2 linked regions of the Arabidopsis thaliana genome follow. The protein of the gene in region 1 interacts with the protein of each later gene in a pairwise test. Each region holds a gene or a part of one and is shown in the gene's direction. Other genes may lie near its edges.

Evidence for each region. Proteins that work in one complex are often made in the same cells at the same time.
Region 2: the proteins of CaS (region 1) and AT5G10020 interact in a protein complementation assay, tested with the Arabidopsis thaliana proteins (one large-scale study listed by BioGRID).

The regions. Positions count from the first base shown.
Region 1 is NC_003076.8:7,733,924-7,741,665, reverse strand, and holds CaS (calcium sensing receptor), read left to right. Parts: upstream 1-3,130; 5' UTR 3,131-3,253; coding exon 3,254-3,469; intron 3,470-3,551; coding exon 3,552-3,797; intron 3,798-3,896; coding exon 3,897-4,089; intron 4,090-4,239; coding exon 4,240-4,381; intron 4,382-4,460; coding exon 4,461-4,592; coding exon of another isoform or gene 4,593-4,596; exon of another isoform or gene 4,597-4,671; coding exon 4,672-4,906; 3' UTR 4,907-5,148; downstream 5,149-7,742. Other genes in the region: AAE17 (acyl-activating enzyme 17), read left to right, coding at 6,267-6,517, 6,601-6,730, 6,819-7,075, 7,164-7,368, 7,700-7,740. UniProt on the Arabidopsis thaliana protein: Modulates cytoplasmic Ca(2+) concentration and is crucial for proper stomatal regulation in response to elevated levels of external Ca(2+).
Region 2 is NC_003076.8:3,131,334-3,139,454, forward strand, and holds AT5G10020 (Leucine-rich receptor-like protein kinase family protein), read left to right. Parts: upstream 1-1,910; 5' UTR 1,911-2,180; coding exon 2,181-3,111; intron 3,112-3,299; coding exon 3,300-4,937; intron 4,938-5,038; coding exon 5,039-5,616; 3' UTR 5,617-5,909; downstream 5,910-8,121. Other genes in the region: AT5G10010 (myosin-H heavy protein), read left to right, coding at 72-119; TGA4 (TGACG motif-binding factor 4), read right to left, coding at 6,315-6,467, 6,559-6,786, 6,873-7,144, 7,225-7,288, 7,358-7,435, 7,514-7,573, 7,650-7,730, 7,804-7,962.

The DNA.
Region 1 (7,742 bases):
AAGCTGTTTTTTTTGGTGCTTCAATGTGATGAGTAATCTTGTTATTATAATTTTTTTTTGATGTTTTGTTCGATGATTCTTATTTTTATTGTTATGAATACTTTTACCGTAATATTTAACTTATTTTTTTCTTTAGTGATGAAAATTGCACTAATATATAATTTACTGTTAAATCTTGTTTCTTCGTACTTTTTTTAGAAAATGACTCACATATCTGTTTATGTAATAATTTTTGTGGTATAGTCTTGTATAACTTTAACATTAATTCTAACTTCCATATAATAGAATGATTTTTAGAAGGAAAAAGATATATATGATTTATTGTTATTTATTTGACAAAAAGTCTTGTTTTTTTTTTTGTTTTTTTTTGTTTTTAGCTTATGGTTAAAGAGTTAGGTTTTGGTAAAGTCTATTGTTTATCTTTTGTAATGCGTAGGTAAATTTTGGTGATATTTGATAAATTTTAACAAAAAAAGTGAAAATTATAGAGTTGATAAATTTTGGTGATATTTGATAAATTTTAACAAAAAGAAGTGAAAATTATATAAAAATGAAAAGAAGTAGAAAAGAAGAGAAAAACTAGAGTGAGAATCATTAGACTGTCAATCATAGAGTTGGATTTTTTATTGACCAAAAAGTACAAAAGACGAGGATGAGAGAAAATTATGTAATGTACGGTAAAACGGTGAGTCATCAGATTCCTCTTTTTCAAATTTCATTGATTCCAATTGAAAAATCTCCTCTCCTTCCACTTATTTCTCACATGCATTCTCTCTATATATATGAGCAGCTCCTAGTTTTATAACTCTGCATCTATCCACCTCTCTCTGTAAATTTATCTAAATGTTTCTTTTAATCTTTTTGAGATTAATAATGATTTGTGTTTGTTCATCAACCGATTTTCTCAGATCTGTCAATTATTTTTGTTTATTTATTTATGATTTATGAATGAGGAAAGAGTGAAGTCGCTGGAGGCAGCGGTTCATCGATCAATTCCTGTGAATATTTATTTTTGTTTACAAAAGCAAGAATCGATCGATAAACCTCTGCATCCAGCGCTGCTTGCTCTTCATGACTTTTGTTTAATTGATATCTATTTGAGTATTGCTGAGAAGCAGGACAATGGATTCGATAAAGTCTTCTCAGCTGCTGAAACTAAATATTTAAAATTTATCCCAAATCTAATTCAAAGTATTCATCTTTTAGCTGTTGAGATAGTGAGGGAAAACAAAATTCTTGTATATGAAAAAAGGATAAAATGAAATTGTTTGTTTGTTATTGTTTTGGGTAACAGATCAATTATCATATGTGTTTTTGTTTGTAGTCATGTCTTCATAATTGACTCATATTCTTAAATCTTACAACTTCAGTTTTGTCTTAACTTTTTTTTTTTATTGATCTGTTTTTTAACAATGGTCCTGAATTCTGATGATGCAGTTTTACTTTTGGTTTACATGTATGTATCAAGGTTTGTGTTCCATATGGTCTTTCTTCATCTAGCATTTTTGTTTTTGTTTGTTGAGCCACTGAATCCAACTTGTACTTCTTCAGCTTTGCAGATTAGTAGATCGGTTTTTTTCCTGGCTATGTCTTTTGTCACTACAGACCCTCAACGCTAATTTTGTTCCTGAGCATGGCTATGTTGTTATGAGTTCCTGATATGAAATTTGCTGTGATCTCTTGGTTTCTTGATGCAATGTGTGCTTTTGCTTACTTCTCTGGCTCTTTTAAGTATTACCTACATAGACATTGCATAATTCTAAAACCTTTGCTTTTGCATTACTATGTTCATTCTTGGCAAGTGATAAGGAATCCACGTAGAATAGTATAATACAATCAAAAACTTTGATACATTGCGCAATGAGTGCGTGATGATAACCCTTTAATCAGGATCCAAGTGGTGATATTCACTGATTAATAACCTTCTAGAGAGCCATGCTATACTTCTTGTTCTTTTCGTATTACTATTTATGAAACTGGCTGTTCAAGAAGAATCAAATTCACTCCTTAAACTTTCTTGTTGTAAAAGACACTTTTGTTATAAGTCATTGGTCTTCCTGTGTCCTCTCTTTTTTTCCCTCACCTTTGGCAGCACAGAGAAAAGGTGAGGGAATCTTGTGAAGTGAAAGGATTCCTTAGCTCGTGGGTTTTAAAATTCCTTGGAGCAAAACTTCAAATGGTATCATGATTCCATTTTCAAATTAGGTAAGAAAAGGAGAATCTTGTTCTTTTTCAAGATCAAGACTTGTTATCTTTCTTATATTCCTCACACAAGAGGGGCTGTTAAAATATGAGAAAATACTGTTTCTCTACAATGTTCTTATATAGAATTTGTGATGATGGTAGCACTACTAATAATATGATACCACTCTCTAGGCTGATGCTTTAACAAACATGAACTTAATAGCATAGTTTAAATGGTGAGCTTGCTTGTTTTAAGGTCTAGTAATGGTACTACTATACATTTTGTGGAATTATATACTTGTAAATGCTATGGAACTAGTGATCATGTGTGTTTGCTCGTCTTCCTTCAATCATGGGAAAGTTAATAAAGTGAGTCTATAATTTTACTAGTAGACGGTTGACCAAGTGTAGGTAGTTTACTTCACTTGATCAGCATGCTCAAATCTGTTCAAATTTTTAGGAGAGTAAACAGGAACCACAAGAACGGAACCTAAACCAACATCAGTCCAATTTAAGATACTTGGTTTTGTACGGAATGAAGTTTAATAGCAGTTTTCGGTCTTGGTTCATACAAGATGATGTTTATTGGCTTTGATTGGTAACACAATTTGAGGCGCTTGGAGCGGAGGTTGAACCGCTTCTTTGATTACCAATCGAACTGATGGAACTCATTGTTAGAAGAGGCGGCTAAAACAGATAGCTACTTCGTGTACAACCATAAGCATGTTTCAATGTACAGTATTCATTTTTTGTTGCTCTTATTCTGTAGTACACCTCTGATATTACTGCTACAATGAAATTCTTGTACGACATATATCAAAGTATTGGATTGGCAACGAACGGCTAAGCTTTAACACAAAAATGCCACGTAGGATTAGTCTGACCAATAAGAATCCATCTTTCAAATCCCCTTCCTTCAATCTTAACCAGAAAACTCAATTTATTTATAATCTTTAGAAAAAGGTACTTGAAGAAACAGTTTGCAGACAACATTGAAGAGAAGCTCTAAAGATTCTTTGTCTCTTTCTCTGTCGCATTGATTTGTAAAAAAGTGTGGCAGAGAGAAACCATGGCTATGGCGGAAATGGCAACGAAGTCTTCACTATCTGCAAAACTCACTCTTCCTTCTTCTTCTACTAAGAAGACACTGAGTCTGAGACAAGTCTCTGTTTCACTTCCAACATCAACTTCAATCTCTCTGTTATCTCTCTTTGCATCTCCTCCTCATGAAGCTAAAGCTGCTGTTTCCATTCCCAAGGACCAAATCGTCTCCTCTCTCACTGAAGTATATATAATAATCTCACTTTACTTCTTGAAATGACCAAAATGTCTCCTTTTTGTTGATGAGTGTTCTTGTGTCTTAACAGGTGGAGAAAACAATCAACCAAGTTCAAGAAACTGGTTCTAGTGTATTTGATGCAACGCAGCGTGTGTTCCAAGTAGTAGGAGATGCTCTTAAACCAGCTTTGGACACTGCTTTACCCATTGCAAAGCAAGCTGGTGAAGAAGCTATGAAGCTTGCTTCTCCTGCTTTCTCTGAAGCTTCAAAGAAAGCTCAAGAAGCAATGCAGAGCTCTGGTTTTGATTCTGAGCCTGTCTTTAATGCTGCAAAGGTCAGATTTCTTACATTCAAATATGTATGAGAACATAACAATTTAGGTTTTGGGGTTTAGGGTTTGAAGTGGTTTGTCTGTGTTTTGGTTGGGATGTAGACAGTAACAGATGTAGCACAACAGACGTCAAAAGCGATAGAAGATGCTAAACCGATTGCTTCATCGACCATGGATACGATTTCTTCAGCTGACCCTAGTGTCATTGTTGTTGCTGCTGGTGCTGCGTTTCTTGCTTACCTTCTTCTCCCTCCTGTTTTCTCTGCCATCTCTTTTAACTTCCGTGGTTACAAAGGTACCTCAAGACTCCATATAGATCATCTTGAGAACATATATAAGTTTTTGATTTGGTTATTAGTGATCTATTTTGTATCTAGAGTCTAATTCACCATAGCAAAATGCTGACAATTACTCTGTGTTTCTGGTTTGTGTTTTTTTAATAAAGGTGATCTTACGCCGGCTCAAACGCTTGACCTTCTTTGCACCAAGAACTACTTGATGGTGGATATAAGATCAGAGAAAGACAAGGAGAAAGCCGGGATTCCACGGCTCCCTTCGAATGCTAAGAACCGCGTGATCTCCATTCCGTATGTGTCTATCTAACTTTGATAATTCTTTTCATTATTATTATACTCAAAACATTGAACCTGTTCTTGTGATTATCAGATTAGAAGAACTACCAAACAAAGTAAAAGGAATCGTGAGGAACTCTAAACGAGTTGAAGCAGAGATAGCAGCATTAAAGATTTCTTACCTCAAGAAAATCAACAAAGGCTCCAATATCATCATCTTGGACTCGTGAGTTTTGATTATTACTCTTTTACAAGACCTTTTTTGTGAATCTTGCTTAATCTTTATTGGTCTTTTTGGCTCGTAGGTACACGGATTCGGCTAAGATAGTGGCGAAAACGTTAAAGGTTCTCGGGTACAAGAATTGCTATATTGTGACAGATGGATTCTCTGGTGGCAGAGGATGGTTGCAGAGCCGTTTAGGCACTGATTCTTACAACTTCTCGTTTGCACAAGTCTTGTCTCCATCGCGGATTATCCCGGCAGCTTCGAGAAGCTTTGGCACTAGGTCCGGAACCAAGTTCCTTCCTAGCTCCGACTGAAAACAGAGGATATATATAGTTTTACAAGTGTTGTTTAGTATTCCTTTATTTCTCAACTTTGAGAGATCTTTTGATAAGATAAGATTTTCGAATTACTTACTTACTTGTCTTTTACATTGATGATCATATATGGAAAAGATTACATCAAACTGAAGTAGTAGCTAATCATCTAAAAGAAAAAATGTATGATCAAAAACCGGGATGAGTTTGGCCTATAGTGGTAGGAAAAAATTGGGATAAAGACTAAATTCATAATGAGTTATGGACAACTAATTGTAATATCACATAGATGCACAATCATTTTGGACCATCTGGTAGGTGTGTGTGTGTGGCCTAGCCTTATCACTTAGTGGGATTGCCAATAGCTTTTTGCCGAAAATCCATTTTACAAATGGTTGAAGATAATAAAAATTAGACAAGTTTTTTTTTTTGTGGAGTTTAGTTTAGTGCTTTCAATCATGTGAAAACCAAGATATAAATTTTGAAAACTATTATAAATATTGTGCAATAGTTGAAGTATATACAAACTATTTTTAATCAAAATGTTGTCTAATTAATATTAATTGTAACACCGGTCACTCCGAATTGTAACAAAATTGTCTATTTTGCTAACGGATTCTACACCAAATTAAATAAAATTTATATAGACTAACATATATTGCTCTACTGATCCATACAATCTAAATTGATAGTGTATATAGACTGAAATCAATAAATAAAAGACATAAACCAAATAAGATGATGATCAAAAGTCGAAAAGAGAAAGCAAAAAAAAAAGGTGTAAGAGATCAGTACCACTACATAATGTATATAGACTGAGACCAATTTCAAGATACATAAAATCATATAAAGTAACCAAATGTAAAGTGTTATCTTCTTTTCCTCAATATATCAATCAATCAACATTTTTTTTCTTTCACTTTCATTATGATTCCTAACATATAAATAACTAAACTTAGTTTGTCCCAAAAAAAAAAATACCCAACTAAACTTAAGGTAAAAAATTGGTCATAGTAACATATCGACAATGTATATAATATGGAGCCTAGATTCTGAAATGATTCATAGATTAAGAATACAAGTTCATATCTCATACAATGTATATAGACTGATATCAATAAAAAGATTCATATCATAATATAACATGAAGATAAAAAAAAAGTAACTCCTATCACCAAGAAGAAGAAGATAATCCAATCAGACGTGTAAAGAGCGAAAAAAAGCTATCAAATATCAGAATCAGATTGACACGTGGCGATCACGAGCTCTCTTTATATTACGTGGACAATTTTGCCACTCTTCTCTCTGCCACTCTCATCATTTTTTGAATCATTCATGATTTCTTAGCTCTCTCAAAAAAATGGCGTACAAATCCCTAAATTCAATCACCAAATCTGATATCGAAGCTCTAGGAATCTCCGGTGATGTCTCCGAGAAGCTTCTCAGAGATCTCGAAGACATTATTCACGGTTCATCCACGCCGCCGGAGACGTGGATTCAGATTTCTCGGCGGATCCTTCACCCTAATCTCCCTTTCTCTTTTCACCAGATGATGTATTACGGTTGCTACAAGGATTTCGGACCCGACCTACCCGCTTGGATACCCGACCCGTACGAATTGTTTGTTTACCATAAATTGATTTTTCTCCGTTTGTTTCAGATTCTTATGATTTTGGCTTTGTTGTATATTATAGGAAGGTTGCTTCTTTAACTAACGTAGGCAAGTTATTAGAAAAGCGAGGCAAAGAGTTTTTAGGTGGAAATTACAAGAATCCAGTTTCGAGTTTCTCCAGTTTTCAAGAGTTCTCTGTATCAAATCCTGAGGTAACTAACATTGGTGTTATTATTATTGTTATGCCTTAAGTTTTCGTGATTATGTGTTTTGTAATTCTATGGTGATTATCTTGATCAGGTGTATTGGAAAACTGTATTGGATGAGTTAAACATATTGTTCTCTGTACCTCCTAAGTGTATATTAGAGAAGGATACTTCTGGAGATAATCCTGGAGGTAAATGGCTTCCTGGAGCTTACTTGAATCCTGCAAGAAATTGTTTGACTAATGGTTTCAAGAGAAGATTGGATGATATTGTGATTCGATGGCGTGATGAAGGAAGCGATGATCTTCCTGTGAATACCATGACACTTTTGGAGTTAAGATCGCAGGTCTGGTATGAAATTCCCATCCTTGTGGCCTTTCTTTGGTGAATAACGCTTTAAAGTTGTTTCCTTTACTGACTATTGTTATCTATTGTGTAGGTTAGCTGCACATGCTCTTAGTGCTTTGGGTTTGGAGGAAGAGTCAGCAATCGCGGTTGATATGCCAATGAATGTTGAGTCTGTGATCATATACCTTGCTATTGTTTTAGCTGGCCACGTAGTTGTTTCAATAGCTGATAGTTTCTCTCCCCGTGAAATATCAACACGGCTTAAAATATCAAAAGCAAAAGCCATTTTTACTCAGGTAACTTTCTCATGATTCTTTGATGGATGGAACATGAAGGTGTAAGCTTTGCTGTTAAGTTATACTAGAGTGTGATGCGACGGTTTTAGTAAAGAGCTGATTGCTTTTTGCCTGTTGAATTTAGTTCAAGTTGTGGCCAAATTCTGAACGGTTGTTATGTGATCTCTGGATTTTAAAACATAGCCCTAGTTTAAAGCCTAGATGGAAAAAGCAATTTTGTTTGATTTATTGGAATGGTCACTCTATAAAAGCCAGCATATAACATGGCTTCTACTCATTTTCTTGAATTATTGTAATCGTCACTGTATAAAGCGACTTTTCTTGTTTGCAGGATGTGATTATTCGTGGTGATAAAAGTATTCCTCTCTATAGGT
Region 2 (8,121 bases), 4.6 Mb from region 1:
TTTTGATTATAGTTTGTTACAAAGCTCTGAGTATGTGAATGATCTGGTTTTCGCTTCTTCTGTTTTTGCAGTCCCCATTCATTAACCGATACTATGGAAAGGCTCATGAAGTCCTTTGAGATCAGATGATCAGATGTTTGAGAAGCCAGAAAGCTTTTCTTGGAAGCTTCAGCAGAAATCAAAGTTATTTTTAATCACAGGTGCTCTCAGAAACTCTTTGAGCTTTTATAGTTATTAAGCCAAGTTTGTAGGACAAAATGTCTTTTACTTTTATGAGTTTGTATTCTCCTCGGGAGTACTTGAGATCTTAGAAGAGTCACGGGAACCCAATTCTTTTTGCGGAAAATCGAGACAGCTTTTTATCTCTCTATGCTTTAAGTTTTTCTTAAATTGCAATGGCATTTCTCACATTACTTTAGACTCTAGACGATTATGCTAATTATAAGAAAAGTAAGAGTATTTTAGTGGGGGTTTTCCAACTAGTTGTCAAAGTTTCGACAATAACAAAATGGTATTATTTAGTTGGACCCAATAATATATTATATGAAAGAGAGATGGACAGACATAGACAAAATATAATAAGTTTGGCATCTTTCATTTTATGGTTAGAGAAAATGACATTCTAAAAGGAGCAAATAAATAGACTACTCAAGAGTTATAATGTTTATATATATATTTGTATTATCATTAAAATTCGCGACAAGGAGATATATATTCCAAGTGGGAATGTATAAATCAATCAGTCAAACAGTGCCATAAATCTTCAAAAAGCTTATTAACCTTAGGGTAGTCAAGTTATTTATTTATTTTTGCATGAAATGTCAATAATTTATGTTTTGTCAACTAATTATTTAAATTAAAATAGCAAATTATGGTCATATTTAGCTAATTTACACAGAATAATGTATGTGATTAGGGGAAAAAAAATAGACAGGTTGGTCCGGAAGAGTAGTAGTAATTGAGTATGACAGACCACGTTCTTCTCTTATTTAGTATCTCCGTTCCCGTTTAAGGAGTAGTACAGTGTACGGACAAAGAACTTAACGGCGTTACTTACAATATCCCCGTCACGTTGTGTTGCATGTGAGAAAAAGGGTTTGGGTGCGAATTTTCTTCATCTTCAGAAAAGAGAAAAAAAAAGAAAAGACACAGCGACTCAAAGACATGCCATTGTCCTTTCCAGTCTGTTTTTTTACTTATCTGCAAAGTGCAAACTAATCATATATTATTCCACCACTTCTCTTCCTCTCTTTTCACCTTTTAAAAAAATAATATTTATTGTTATATCCTTTTAAACAAATATTTTGGGTTGGTACTTGTACTCATATCCTGGTTTTGAATCTACCGGTTTTGGTATCATTAACTACGTCAAGTTAATTATGTTTCCTAAACTAGTATATGTAATAACAAAGATGATAAATGCTGATAAGTGATAATGACTTGACGCAATTAGTGTAACAAAATGTAATGACACATCTAACAACTCTTTTTCATTTAAAGTAGTCTTTTTTTCACGGTATGATTGATTTTAAGTAAAACCTTTGAACAATAGTCACTGGTCTTCTAAGATGGTTTCCCCAAAACACCTTTTTGAGTCCATTTTATGTGGTTTGGTTACTTATTTGAATGTCAGAGAATATTCAAAAGAGATCACACTATGGTCTATGTAAAAACATAAGTTTTTTTAACATGAGAGAAAAAAAAACTGGTAGTCAGGTTACCAAAAAAGAAAAAAGAACTAGAGAGAGTAATCACTAATCAGTAATTATAGATTCCATTAACAAAAAATTGATTCCATTAACTAGAGTAAAAGTAGGTAAAGAGAAAACTCATAATTCCTAAAATGATAAAAGTTTTTAAAATATCTGAACTTTAAATTGGAAACTAGTATTAATCTCTGATTGCATAGAAAAAAATGTCATACCATAAAGAAGTATAAGAAAACTAATATAAAAATTCGATTTTTTTTTGGAAAACCTCAAAAACACACTCTTCTCTCTCTCTTCTTCTTCTTCCCCTCTTTCAATTTTTTTCAGATTCCGAGTACAATCCCTAAATCTCCGTCTCTCTGTTTCTCTCTTCTCTCAAGTCTCAGCTATGAATCCTTACTAGGGTTTATTCTTTCTGTGTTTCTCACTCTGCATTTGCTTCTGTGGAGTAGATAGATTCTTCAGGGCTAAATGAGTCATTTTCTCACTTTCTGCTTCCTCTCACTCCTTCTCCTCCTCCACGGTGCCAACGCCGTCACCGAGACGGAGCTCCGATCTCTACTCGAGTTCCGTAAAGGGATCCGTGACGAGACCTCACACCAACGAATCTCATGGTCAGATACAAGCAGCCTCACTGATCCATCTACTTGCCCTAATGACTGGCCTGGTATCTCTTGCGACCCTGAAACCGGTTCAATCATCGCCATTAATCTCGACCGTCGTGGTCTCTCCGGCGAACTCAAATTCAGCACTCTCTCTGGTCTTACTCGTCTTCGTAACCTCTCTTTATCCGGAAACAGCTTCTCGGGTCGGGTCGTTCCTTCATTGGGTGGAATCTCGTCGCTTCAACACTTAGATCTGTCGGATAACGGTTTCTACGGACCTATACCGGGTCGGATCTCGGAGCTTTGGAGTTTGAATCATCTCAATTTGTCTTCCAACAAGTTCGAAGGTGGGTTTCCTAGTGGCTTTCGGAATCTTCAGCAGCTAAGATCTTTGGATTTGCATAAGAACGAGATTTGGGGAGATGTTGGTGAGATTTTCACTGAGCTTAAGAATGTTGAGTTCGTTGATTTGAGCTGTAACCGTTTCAACGGTGGCTTATCTTTACCAATGGAGAACATTTCCAGCATTTCCAACACTCTCCGTCACTTGAATTTGAGCCACAATGCGTTAAATGGCAAGTTTTTCAGTGAGGAGTCCATTGGTTCGTTCAAGAATCTCGAGATTGTTGACTTAGAGAATAACCAGATCAATGGTGAGTTACCGCATTTTGGATCACAGCCGAGTTTGAGAATATTGAAGCTTGCTCGTAACGAGTTGTTCGGTTTAGTACCTCAAGAGTTGTTGCAGAGTTCGATTCCTTTGCTAGAGCTAGATCTAAGTCGAAACGGTTTTACAGGTTAATTCAAATCTTACAACTTTTCTCTTCTTGCTACTTTTAGGGTATACAGGAATAGAATTATTGAACTTTATGTCATTGAGCATTGATTTGACTGGTTTCATGGTCTTGACTAGACACTTGTGTCACATTGTCTGAAGCTGTTGTATAAATGTATATTAAAGGAGTTTCTTTTGGTTCAAATGCAGGATCAATTAGTGAAATCAATTCATCAACGTTAACTATGTTGAATCTTTCTTCTAACGGCCTGTCTGGGGATCTTCCGTCGAGTTTTAAAAGTTGCTCAGTGATAGATTTGAGTGGGAATACTTTCTCTGGCGACGTGTCTGTTGTTCAAAAGTGGGAAGCTACTCCAGATGTTCTTGATCTTAGCTCAAACAACTTGTCGGGAAGCTTGCCGAACTTTACTTCTGCATTTTCAAGATTAAGTGTGTTGAGCATTAGGAATAATTCTGTCTCTGGTAGCTTGCCTTCTCTGTGGGGTGATTCTCAATTCTCTGTGATTGATCTCAGTTCAAATAAGTTCAGTGGCTTCATTCCAGTGAGTTTCTTCACTTTTGCAAGCTTGAGAAGTTTGAATCTTTCTAGGAATAACTTGGAGGGGCCAATTCCTTTTCGAGGTTCACGTGCAAGCGAACTTTTGGTTCTAAATTCTTATCCGCAGATGGAGTTACTTGACCTTTCAACCAATTCTTTGACGGGTATGCTGCCTGGGGATATAGGTACAATGGAAAAAATTAAAGTGCTGAATCTTGCCAATAATAAGCTGTCCGGGGAACTTCCAAGCGACCTCAACAAGCTTAGTGGCCTTTTGTTCCTTGACTTGTCAAACAATACTTTCAAGGGTCAAATTCCCAATAAGCTTCCTTCCCAAATGGTGGGATTCAATGTGTCGTATAACGACCTATCAGGCATAATTCCGGAAGACCTTAGAAGCTACCCGCCTTCTTCATTTTATCCTGGTAACTCCAAGCTAAGTCTCCCAGGACGGATTCCAGCGGATTCTTCTGGTGATCTGTCTTTACCTGGGAAAAAACATCATTCGAAGCTTAGCATAAGAATAGCGATTATTGTTGCTTCAGTTGGAGCTGCTATTATGATTCTTTTTGTCTTGTTTGCCTATCATCGAACACAGCTCAAGGACTTTCACGGGAGGAATAGATTTACAGACCAAGCAACGACTAGAGACACCAAGTTTGGACGCTCTTCTCGTCCCTCCTTATTCAACTTCAGCTCAAATGTTGAGCAGCAGTCATCATCTTTGAGCTTCTCAAACGATCACTTGCTCACCGCAAATTCAAGGTCGTTATCTGGGATACCCGGATGTGAAGCTGAAATATCCGAGCAGGGTGCGCCTGCTACTTCTGCTCCTACAAACCTCCTTGATGATTATCCTGCAGCATCTGGGCGCAAGTCTTCTTCAGGAGGCTCCCCACTATCCTCCTCACCCCGTTTTAGCGACCAGCCTGTGATGTTAGATGTTTACTCACCTGATAGATTGGCCGGAGAACTCTTCTTCTTAGACGTTTCACTAAAACTCACAGCAGAAGAGTTATCCCGAGCTCCTGCAGAAGTTCTAGGTAGAAGCAGCCATGGAACACTGTACAAAGCAACACTGGATAATGGACACATGTTGACGGTGAAATGGTTGAGAGTTGGCCTCGTGAGGCATAAGAAAGATTTCGCACGGGAAGCCAAAAAAATCGGCTCTTTAAAACATCCTAACATTGTTCCGTTGCGAGCATACTATTGGGGTCCCAGAGAACAAGAAAGACTTCTCCTGTCTGATTACCTGAGAGGAGAGAGCTTAGCCATGCATCTTTACGGTTAGAAGATCTTTTAATTAGTCTTTTTAGTCCTATAACTACAAGCCTTTCTGTATCTTGTTTGAAAAAAAGTTAATCACCCTGCCAAATTTTCTGTGCAGAGACTACTCCTCGGAGGTATTCTCCAATGTCCTTCAGCCAAAGACTAAAAGTTGCAGTTGAAGTGGCTCAGTGTCTTCTCTACCTTCATGATAGAGCAATGCCACACGGGAACTTGAAGCCAACTAACATAATCCTCTCAAGTCCTGACAATACCGTGCGAATAACTGATTACTGTGTTCACCGTTTGATGACTCCATCTGGTGTAGCGGAACAGATACTAAACATGAGTGCACTCGGTTACTCTGCTCCTGAACTTTCCTCGGCTTCCAAACCGATACCAACACTCAAATCCGATGTCTATGCGTTTGGTGTGATTCTCATGGAGCTTTTGACTAGACGGAGCGCAGGTGACATAATCTCAGGTCAAACAGGAGCCGTTGATCTGACCGATTGGGTGAGGTTGTGTGATCAAGAAGGAAGGAGAATGGATTGCATAGACAGAGACATAGCAGGTGGGGAAGAGTTCTCAAAGGGAATGGAGGATGCACTTGCTGTTGCAATCAGGTGCATTCTCTCTGTCAATGAAAGGCCTAACATCAGACAAGTTCTTGATCATCTTACTTCAATTTCTGCCTGAGATTTGTTTGTTTTTTTATCTCTTCTAAATTTTTCTGTAAATCTCCATGGATTTCCTTTCACACATCATCCCATTTTTTCTTCTTCTTTTCTGGTTTTATGTTTCTCTCTAGTAGTTTGATCAGATGATTCAGAATGATCCTCAGGTGTTCTTACATTTATTTTTTGTTGATTATTTTTCCCCTTCCTTGTAAAGGTAGAAGAAAATCTAATCCCATTGATTCTGACAGAAACATTTGTGTTTGCTTATTGATTCTTTTTTTTATAAATTGTTTTTTTTATCTCTTTTCGACTATATATGATTCACATTGATTTTTGTAATTTTCACTAATGTCTTTTTATTTATTCCCCTTCCCCCATTCTATTATTACATATTTTGTTAAATAATTTTACCATGGTTATAAATCAAGTTCGTAATGTCACATTAAAATCATATATACCACAAGCTTATCTATAATATTACATACAAAAAAAAAAGAACAACCATCGAAAAGTTGGTTTCTAAAAAGCTATAAACTTTACGTTGCTGATCATATGTACAACTTTCCTCAAACATTTCCTTTAGCCGCAAGACAAGATTCATCATCACACAGCAGCTTGTGTTATTGCTCTTGTTCTTGACCCAAAAATCCACTCACCAGCAAACTCCATTCTTGATTGTTAAGGTCTCAAACCTTTCTTGACATCTAAACACCTTAATTACGTTGGTTCACGTTGCCTAGCCGCCCAACTCGAACTCAAAGCTCGAAGCCTTTGGAAATACTCCCCTAATGCTAACAAACCTCTAGCCGCTTGTCGCGTGGTTAAGATCCGATGCATCTGTTGCAATGTCTCATGTCTCAGATGATCAGCCTACAACAACAAAACAGTTTAAGAACAACAACAAACTCAAGAAACTAGTTGTTATCCTTCGTTAGTTTTTGTAAAAACATTTCTTTCTTACTTGATTTACAAAGCTGACCAAAGCCTCCAATCTCTCCATAGCACAAGTCATTTGAGGAATATAACTTCCTTCACCAAGTTTCCCGGCTGCTACACTCTCTGCTAATGTATGTTGCAGTTTCTCCATACCTTGGGATAACGCATCTTCTGCTTGTTGACATGATTGCCTCAGATTACATACATCCAAAAGTTGTTGATCCGTCAAAGGATCAAAATGCGGTAACAGAACCTAACACAAAAAAAAAAATCCATATCCAAAATCATTGCAAAAAAAACCATTACAATTTATGGATTAATGACAGGTTTTTCTATTACCTTGAGAAGCTCTGAGGGTCTAAATCCGCCTATCCACAAGAAAAACCGCTCTGCTGAAGTTTTCCACATTCCGGACATGACATAGAAAACATCGATTTTTGCAGCGGCTGACTTCATTCGGAAGAGTTGAAAGTAATGTTTCATGGCATTCTCGACTAGAGAACGAAGCTCTATATCACTAACTTGTCCATGTAAAACCGTTCTTAGTTCACATATTTGCCTGTTCTGTTCTTCCACCCAATGTCCATATTCCATCTCAAATGCAACAATCCCTAACAAGAAAAAGAAAACTGATGAATCTCAAAATCAAATGGAAACTACCTAAACGCTAAAGGTGAAAGAAGACTCAAACCTGAGCTCATGTTATCTGAGAAACTAAGAGCATTGGTATCTACTCCGTTCCCCACATAGAAACCCTGCAACATTATGATCATATATTATTACATCAACAAGATACTTAAGGAAGAATAATATTTTGTGCAAACCTGTTGTCTAGCACGATCGAGTTCTTGCTCTAAATGAATTAGCTTTAACCGGCTAGTCTCTAGCTGCTGAACATAAGCCTGCAAGAAAATACTCTATAGCTCAGTTTAAAGAAAACAAAACTGTTTTACGAGTTGCAGGAACATAAAGTTTCATACTTTCTTGCGCAAACGACTTTTCCTAGCTGCCTCTCGATTCTGTGCTAGCCTTCTCTGTATCTGTGAAGACATAAAGATTAAAATGACAAAATCTTCAAGGAATTAAGATAACCAAATGAGCTATATTATAACTTACCTTATCAGGATGTCTAGATGTGGAAGCCTCTTGGTCAAACTTGTGAGGAGTTCCTTCTGTCCCATGAGAAGTATCCTCTGACTGAACAAAGATTAAAGCAAGCATTAGTTTCTGAATTCACTTTATCTGAAATATATAGCAAACTTTGAAGTACCAAGCTGTCTGGTTTTTCGTTAGTCGGGATTATGATAGAGCCAGGCGTATACATGTCTCCATTGTTCTTGAAACTTTCTTCCCACATACCGATTTGGTTGAGAGGCTCGTAAACTTCAAACCTTCTCGGTGGAACAAAATGTGTCGAGGTTGTATTCATATTTCTTCAACTAGCAACAAAACAAAAAAAAAAAAATACAAAACTTCATTCATCAAAGTCAAGAATTGCAAAAGATACAAGATCACAAGTTAAAGAGATATGTAAGTGATTTGCAGCCAAAAGCAAAGGTTGTGACATTAAGTCATTATCCATCACCCA